2 linked regions of the Danio rerio genome follow. The protein of the gene in region 1 purifies or fractionates together with the protein of each later gene. This does not show direct contact. Links are inferred from orthologs where the notes say so. Each region holds a gene or a part of one and is shown on either strand. Other genes may lie near its edges. The genes, in order: mta3 and chd3.

Region 1 (4,436 bases):
CAGAGTAATTGCCGGTTCAATCTGCTGTGGCGACCACTAATAAATGAAGGATAGTGAGTGAGTCAATGCAAGGCTATGTGTTGACTTTTCTTAATGGTTGGTCTTTGGTGGCTGTTACTTGCTCCCTCGCTCATCTTCTTTAAGCTTAGTTCCTGTTTTATCAGGGGTTGCCACCGCGGAAGAAACCACCAATTAGTCTGGCATATGATTTGGATGCCCTTCATACCCGCAACCCAACCCCGAGAGTACACTAATTCATGAACCCCTGTACTGGAAAGGCAGTTTCATTATGTTTATTCATTCATGATTTTACCAAAAGTGACTAATTAATGAGGACTATTTGATTTTTAATTAAAGCTGTCAATAACAGCATAAATAGGCCCAGCCAATCACACTGTCCTTATGTGTTTGTGGGAGGGAGGACCCAGGAAGAGAATGTCACTAACCATTTCTGCATATCTAGGTTAACAAGGGTTGATGGAGCATTATTTTATTTTGAAGGTGATTCAATTATTGGTGGGGATAGTTCAGTAATTGATAGATATTGGTGGGGACATATGCCCTCCATCCAGGCCAAATCTACACCTTTGCTCTGGACTGTGGGGGAAACCGGAGCACCTGGAGGAAACCCACACAAACACAGGGAGAGCATGCAGACTCCACCCAGAAATGCCAACTGACACAGCCAGGACTTGAATCAGCAACCCTCTAGTTGTGAGGCGATAGTGTTAACCACTGAGCCACTGTGCCACCTTAATGAGGTAAATAAAAGAAAAAATAAATAATAATAATAAATTCACAGCAGATTGAAAGGCAAGTACTTTTTCGGTTGTTAAATATATTATTATTTCATATACAATATATTGTTTAAACTATTAAAACCTCAATAAAAGTATTTTTTAAGAACAACAGACACAGACAGATAAAGTAGCATGCTAATAAAACCAAACAAAGTGTCAGCATTTATTATTGGTGTTAACTGGGTTTTGCCACTCATATAAATAGGTTGCTAAAACATTGTGCATCGGGTTGTGATATGTTCAAAACTAAATTAAACAGTGAATCAAGTATATCAATCTTGTTTTCCACAATTGACAGCTTTTAAAAGACACTTATTGTCATAACAAAAAAACTGGCAAAATATGAAAACGTTATTTTAAATGATTTAAATGCACATCAAAACCATGATTAATTGAATTCTGTGGGTAAAACAGTCATGAGTGTCGTGTTGAGGTTGCAGTCTGTAGACTTCATTCACCCTCCTTCTTCCTTCCCTCCTCTTTTCTCTCCTCCTCTCATCTCATCATCAGGAAGCTGCTGCGCTCGAGCCTTTTCTAGCGCGTGAGTGAGTTACTGTATTGTACTGTGAATCTCGGGAGGGGGGCTGCAAAAAAATCTCCTATTCTTACTGAGGTCCACCCCCCTTATTTAAAACTTCTTAAGCCAGATTGCTTTCCAACAGGTCACAGGACGTAGATGCCTTCTTGATTCACATATTTATTTTGTTTTTATTTTAGTTTATGGTTTGGTTTTTTAACACTCCGGGAGGGCAGAAATGGCGGCCAACATGTACCGGGTCGGAGGTATGTCCGTCTATATTCTGAATTAACGCAAGTCAAAACACAGGCACCACCGTAAGACCTGACTGGAAGGCAGGGACTCATTTCAAGCGAATTCCCGAAACCGGCCGCTCACTTTTAAACTCTTTAACACGTGCAGTGTCCTTGCAAAAGAAAACGATAACGTGGATGCAGAATATTTTGGGTTCTGATTTGGGTCAGGCCTCTTAAACTATCATAGCCGCACTAGCATTTTAGCAAGCAGGCTATGTTGCTAGCTAGCCACATCATAAACAAATAATCACTACTATATGTAAAACAATCGGAAACGCGCACTTAGAGCACGTTTCTCTTAGATTTACCCACATAGGTTAAAAGCGAGATATGCTTGCTATTTAACCATTGCAATTTTAGACGCCGATGTTTTTCTTTGTGATCATTTGTCTCATTTTTTGGCACGTATCCATTAGTTACGGGTTCTCATTCGGCATGCAAGGTAGCAAAGCGAGCTAGCATTTAACACCCCTCACTCGATTTCCTTAGAGAAACCACATTCAACTTCTGCCCACTTATTTGCCGAAGCGTTAAGAATTTGCACTGTTTTGATGTGCATTTGTTGTCACGCGTGTAATTAACAGCGTGTATTTAACAATACCGTCGCGTCGTTTGTTTGTGCAATTAGCCGGCTACATGCCGCGGAATTTGACATTGTTTCATGGCGGCGATAATGCAGTGCCATTGAAAATGCTTTTGCAGCTGGACGAGCAAACTTCCTATGAATTCACTGCAAATCTAATAGCATTTGTAATAATTGAATACTTTGCGCGGTTACCTTATGACATGCTCCTTGTGTGATGTTATGTGTTGATACATGTGTAAGAATGTCATTTAAATGGCAATGAAGAGAAAATGCTTGTTTGCATGAATGAAGTGTTTGTTAATGAATGCACATTCTTCACCTCGTCGTCTTGTTTTTGACAAATGCTATATATACAAATGTATCCCAGAAACAAACCATTTCTTAGCCTCAGTCAAAGGCCAAGCTGAAGGTCTTAGTGTCTTGTCAGGTCACACAACACAATTGGTAATGTTTTAGAATAGTAAAAAAAAACATTGCATTATAAAATGTGCCATTTCTAGGGATTTTCATCATTACCGTAATGTAAGTGCAAGAAGAATTCCTGCAATCGAAATGATAATGTTATCAGTTATGCCTAACTGTAAGGAATGTATCCTTTACCCAAAAATTCTTTAGTGTGCAAAATTGTCCGAGGCATATGCACAGTGCTGTGACTTGAAATACATGGTGTTTAAGTTTACATACATGCCTTTAGTTGCCATGATGGCATCAGGTAGAGAACTTATCGATGGAAAAAGTAAAATTTCACAAAAAATGTATGTTGCTGGTTTACGAATGTGTATGTCGTTGCCAACAGGGCAAAAATAGCAATAATGAGATCTGTTGGTGTTACTTCCATGCTGTTTTCTAAAGTGTGATATGATGTCACAAGTTTCAGTCGCAAATGTTTCAATCAGAATGTATAAAGCAAATAAACTGATGTTTGAATCTGATGATAGTTTTTAGATTGTGTAAACTGATGTGCAATTCGATTTAATTCATTTAGATGAACAGAAATTGGTGCATGAAAGCATGTCTGGTGTTTAATGTAGTTTTCTGGCTATAAAAGCAGAAACAAAACCTGCTTCACTCCTTATTTTCATGCTTAAATATATGGTCCACAAGCTTATATCACAATATTATATATAAAAATGACAAATGGCTCATTCATACATCCAAACATAGACTCTCTTAAATGTTTACATGTCTGTACTGCACTTCAATACTGCAACTAGATCGGCATGTGGCACATGTTGTAATTCGATTTCTGTTTAGTTCGATTATGACATTAATTGGATTGTTATTTTTTTATTGTGGTTTACATGGTAGACTCTTAATCAGAGTATTGTCTCGAAATGGATTATTATTATCCATGTAAACAATAATGGATGTTTAAATCCATCTCATTTGGCTACTTTACTAATTTACTGAAGTGGCCAAATGAGATGGATTTAAACATCAGTTATTGTTTACATGGACAACAATTATCTGATTTGAGACAATACTCTGATTAAGAGTCTACCATGTAAACCACAATAAAAAAATCTAATTAACGTCATAATCGAACTAAACAGAAATCAAATTACAACATGTGGCACATGCCGATCTAGTTGCAGTATTGAAGTGCAGTACAGACATGTAAACATTTTAATCAAACTGGTACTGTTGTGTAGGATTTTCGCCGCATTTTGCGTCAAGATACAGTAGTCTATACCAGGGATGGGCAAACTTGATCCTCGAGGGCCGGTGTCCCTGCAGAGCTTTGTTCCAACACTAGTCAAACACACCTGAACAAACCAATCAGTGTCTTCAAGATCACTAGAACTCTATGATGAGGTCTATTTGAATAAGGTTGGAGCTAAACTATGCAGGACACTGGCCCTCCAGGATCAAGTTTGCCCACACCTGGTCTATACACAAACACACGGCTGTTTGACATTATTCTTTGCACCTACCAAGTCAGTGAAGGACTACAGACACCTGCATCGTGAAATGCAGAGGTGTTTTTCTCAATAAGGTGTCTGGTATCAAATTTCATTAAAACAACACTCTTGCAGCAGTTCATACTCGCATTCAATATTTCGTTTGTCTAAGGGGGCATACATGAGATATTGTTGAATGAAAGTGAAGTGCCAAATTGCAGTTAAAGTCAACAAATTAAAAATAAAACTCCAGAGGAAATGTGGATAGTGTGGTGGCCCAACGAAATTAATCGAATTATGTGCTTTTAACATGTAAAACATAACAGGGACATTCAA
Region 2 (3,827 bases), on another chromosome or scaffold:
TATAAGTCAAAAGTTTCTGGCTCTTGAACTGTAATTTAAAAAACACATACAGGCAAGTATTGTAACTATATATATATATATATATATATATATATATATATATATATATATATATATATATATATATATATATACATTTTTTAATTAATTAAAAAATAAAAAAGTCACCTTCATTTTTTACATTTATTTTCACTAATTTAAATGAAGACAAAATTTGTAAACATAACAGCCCAAAATCTCAAAACGTTAGAATGAGTGCCAATTAATTACTATTACACATAATGTAATTTTAAGCAATTTTTAAAATATTTGTTTTGTTTATTAAAATGTTCTGACATCTGAAATATCTTCTAGCATTTAAAAATGATGCATGATTATTTTTATTAATCTAGACAGAATACTTATATTAGAATACCAACATTGACAATTTATTGTTTATTGACAGGCCCTGGCTACAAGAAACGAAGTAAGAGCCCTCGTGTCTCCGACAAGAAGAAGCCAAAACCCAAGAAAATGGCTCCCCTGCGCATTAAACTGGGAGCGATTGGTAACAAGAGGAAGAAGAGCAGTTCAGTGAGTGTCTGTGTATAACCCGCTTGCACAATAATGTGTGTTGCGTGCAGTGTTTTTGATCGTGTATGTGTGTGTGGTTGAAATGCAGAGTGAGGAGGTGGATGAGGACGACTCTGAGCAGGAAAACTCCAGCGTTCACAGTTCTTCAGTCCGCTCTGACAGCTCAGGACGGGTCAAAAAGAATAAAAGGGGTCGCCCTGCCAAGAAGAAGAAAAAGGGTGAGAATTAGCTTGTTGCTATTATCACTGCAGGTCCGTCTAAACTCCTGATAGATGGGTTTTTGAGTGCACAGACACAAAGTGTAATAAACAATTCTCTTTTACATCAAATTATTAATGTGATAGAGGTTTTTGTTCATTGCCAGAGAATTTAGGAAGATAATAATTACCCTAGGTGGTTTAAATGATTTTATTGGTTAAAACAGTAGTAGACATTATGCATCAGAGGGGTAAAGTTAATGTTGTATCTCTCTCCATATCTTTCTGTCTCAGCGCTGGGCGATGAGGATGGCGATGGCTATGAGACTGACCATCAGGATTACTGCGAGGTGTGTCAGCAGGGAGGAGAGATCATTCTGTGTGATACCTGTCCCAGAGCTTATCACCTGGTGTGCCTTGAACCTGAGCTGGAGAAAGCACCTGAGGGCAAGTGGAGCTGCCCTCACTGCGTGAGTCACTTCCACTCAAACCTTCAGAGTCACAGATTGATTTCAAAGTGGTCCTGTCACCTTTTATGTAATGGTTATTATAATGGTTTGTCATTGTAAAATGTCTGTGGAGCTTCAGAGATCAAAGCAAACTTGGAGTTATGTTCTCCCATAAGAAAAAACTGATTGTGGACTTAAATGAGTAATCTTTAGGCCTTATCAACTATCCACAAACAGCATCGCCAAACACTGTGGTGTCGCTGAGTATTAGAGTTTGGTTTTTAGTGTGTCAACAGACATGTTTTCTGTTCTGTGAATCAAATCCACTTTGCATGCATTTTAAAAATGATTTGAAATGATACAGTAACAGTAAAACTGATGCTATAATTGCTGTTTGTATTAATGTGTATAGAAGTGTCTCTGCTGTGAAATGTAGATATGGTTATGCTCATTTGGTTTATAACCAGGGTGCAAATTATACATTGATGATCAGGGGGGGTCGACTCTTTTGGTAAGTTTTTCAGTGTATCCAATTTATTTATTTAAATGACATCAAATTTATGAATAAGTCATATTTAAGTTTTCAGTGTTTTGTGGGATATTTAAAGTATTTTGGCACACATTAACCTCTGATTATTTCTGGTTACTGTAGCTCAAACTATTCAAACTATGCGTCTAATTTTACTTTACTTTTAGTAAATTCAAGCAAGAAATAGTGTCTCATGACCACTTGTGATAGCCATCGCTGCTCTAGATCTGCTGGTTTAGACTGTTGAATGATTCTTGCAAAGACTGATTGGCGCAATTATGCATGAACCCCTATAATTGTATTTTAACATAGTATTGGTATTTCAGTGTTTTCTCTAAGATTTTTTCAAGCTGTGGCGGCAGGCCTTTTTTACACAGATCTACCTATGGTGTTATTTCAATGACAAATGTTGTGAGTGCAGTATTAAGTCGAGATCGCTTTGCTTGGGCTCAGATTTCCTCTGCCTGTGCACAAAACTTCTTGCACGCTCCCTCAAATATATGCTGCTCAAGCGCAGATCTTCTTGTGCGCTTTCAAATAGGGTTGTAACGGTATGAATTTTTCACGGTATGATAATCGTCTAAAACAATACCACGGTTTGACGGTTTCGCGGTATACGGTATTAAATAGTAATTCTCATAGCAAAGACCCTGAAAAGAATAAGAACACGTTTTCTGACTGAACAAAGGTTTTATTTCAACAAACTTTTGAAAGAACCATTTTAATAGAACTATAGAAGTCTTTTATAAAAATAAACTGAAAAATCTCCCATTTTAATAAATTAAATTAGAAGGAATAAACAAGCAAGGTCTTTTAAGATTAGACAAAAATAAACTTAAACTGTCCTTCCTTATAAGCAGGATAAATGGGAGACCAAAAGTGCAATACCAAGTTTATGGCTGTAAACATGTATTTAAAGCGTTGTTTTTTTCAGTCTAGGTTGTGATGAAGAAATGTAAGCATGTTGAGATTTTCAGGACTTAATCTTGACCGCAGAGGTGAGAGAATGTGTCCACTTGTACAATGAACAAATAAAAAAATAAGAAAATAATAAATAGTGTGTCAAAGTCCAAATAAACATGGTGCAAATCCTCAGTAAAAAATAGATATAAATATTTACTATACTATAAATAGTTACATAACGAAACTAGATTCAATATGGAACATCCTTAGGTTTTATGTGCCAGCATGGATATGGTTGTCTGTGGATATGGATTTGGATATGGTTGTATGCAATGCAGACAAACAGCTGCACCTTCATTTGTGTCTTTTGAAAACAGCAAGAGCAGCAGTTCGTCTTTGCTGTGTCACTGTTTTGTCATGTTTCTGTGCTGCTGTGCATGCAAAAGTACTTGGTATGAGAATTATTTCATGCAAAACTTTTTTTTTTTTTTTGCGTTTTATTTAGCCGCGCAGAAATGTATGCCTATCTCTCATTCCGTGTTGTTCAAAAAGCTCAGTGTTGGTCCACAAACAAAAGTGAAACCTATGCTTATTGGTTGTGATATAGCGAGTTTGAACCAATCTGGGCATGAAGGAGGGACAATGCATCAATGTATCATGTCTGGTTTGTCCGGAGACACAGTGACGAGCGTTTCTTTGTCAAATCAGCGTTGTCAAATTTTGATGACGTAACCGCACTGATTCCGGAGCCTCTGAATGTCCGTGAATGTTATGTGATACAGCACTGGAAAGCTGAGATTCTCTTCTTTATGCCAATCTTTGAATTGTATGAATCGGATCAGCGGATCAAAAGTTATTAAACATTTAAGAGCAATACTTATTTTTAGCCGCGGGCGGCTGTCTCGGTCTTTAAGGGTTAAAACCGTTGATATGCAATTGTTCATGGTATGATAATCGTGCACGTTCAAATCGTGGTAGACCGTCATACCGGTATATTGTTACAACCCTACTTTCAAATAAACGCTGAAGTGCGATTTAGGTCCACAACCGTGATCGTTTGGCGTATGGTACGTTTAGCTAGTGTGAACGTTGTCTCCTAAACTCAGATGTGCACCCGTAAACCGTACTCAAGTCCACCTGAAGGGGTGGTCTGGGGTACGGTTTGTGGGAACTCTA

What was found.
Region 2: the proteins of mta3 (region 1) and chd3 purify together in Homo sapiens (affinity purification with mass spectrometry; 4 studies listed by BioGRID and IntAct, with this or other methods). This does not show direct contact. The link is inferred for Danio rerio from reciprocal best matches to the Homo sapiens genes MTA3 and CHD3.

The regions. Positions count from the first base shown.
Region 1 is NC_133187.1:27,004,063-27,008,498, forward strand, and holds the start of mta3 (metastasis-associated protein MTA3), read left to right. Parts: upstream 1-1,352; 5' UTR 1,353-1,413; exon of another isoform or gene 1,414-1,517; 5' UTR 1,518-1,555; coding exon 1,556-1,583; intron 1,584-4,436. UniProt on the Homo sapiens protein: Acts as a component of the histone deacetylase NuRD complex which participates in the remodeling of chromatin.
Region 2 is NC_133182.1:20,735,313-20,739,139, reverse strand, and holds part of chd3 (chromodomain-helicase-DNA-binding protein 3), read left to right. Parts: intron 1-445; coding exon 446-573; intron 574-661; coding exon 662-791; intron 792-1,064; coding exon 1,065-1,240; intron 1,241-3,827.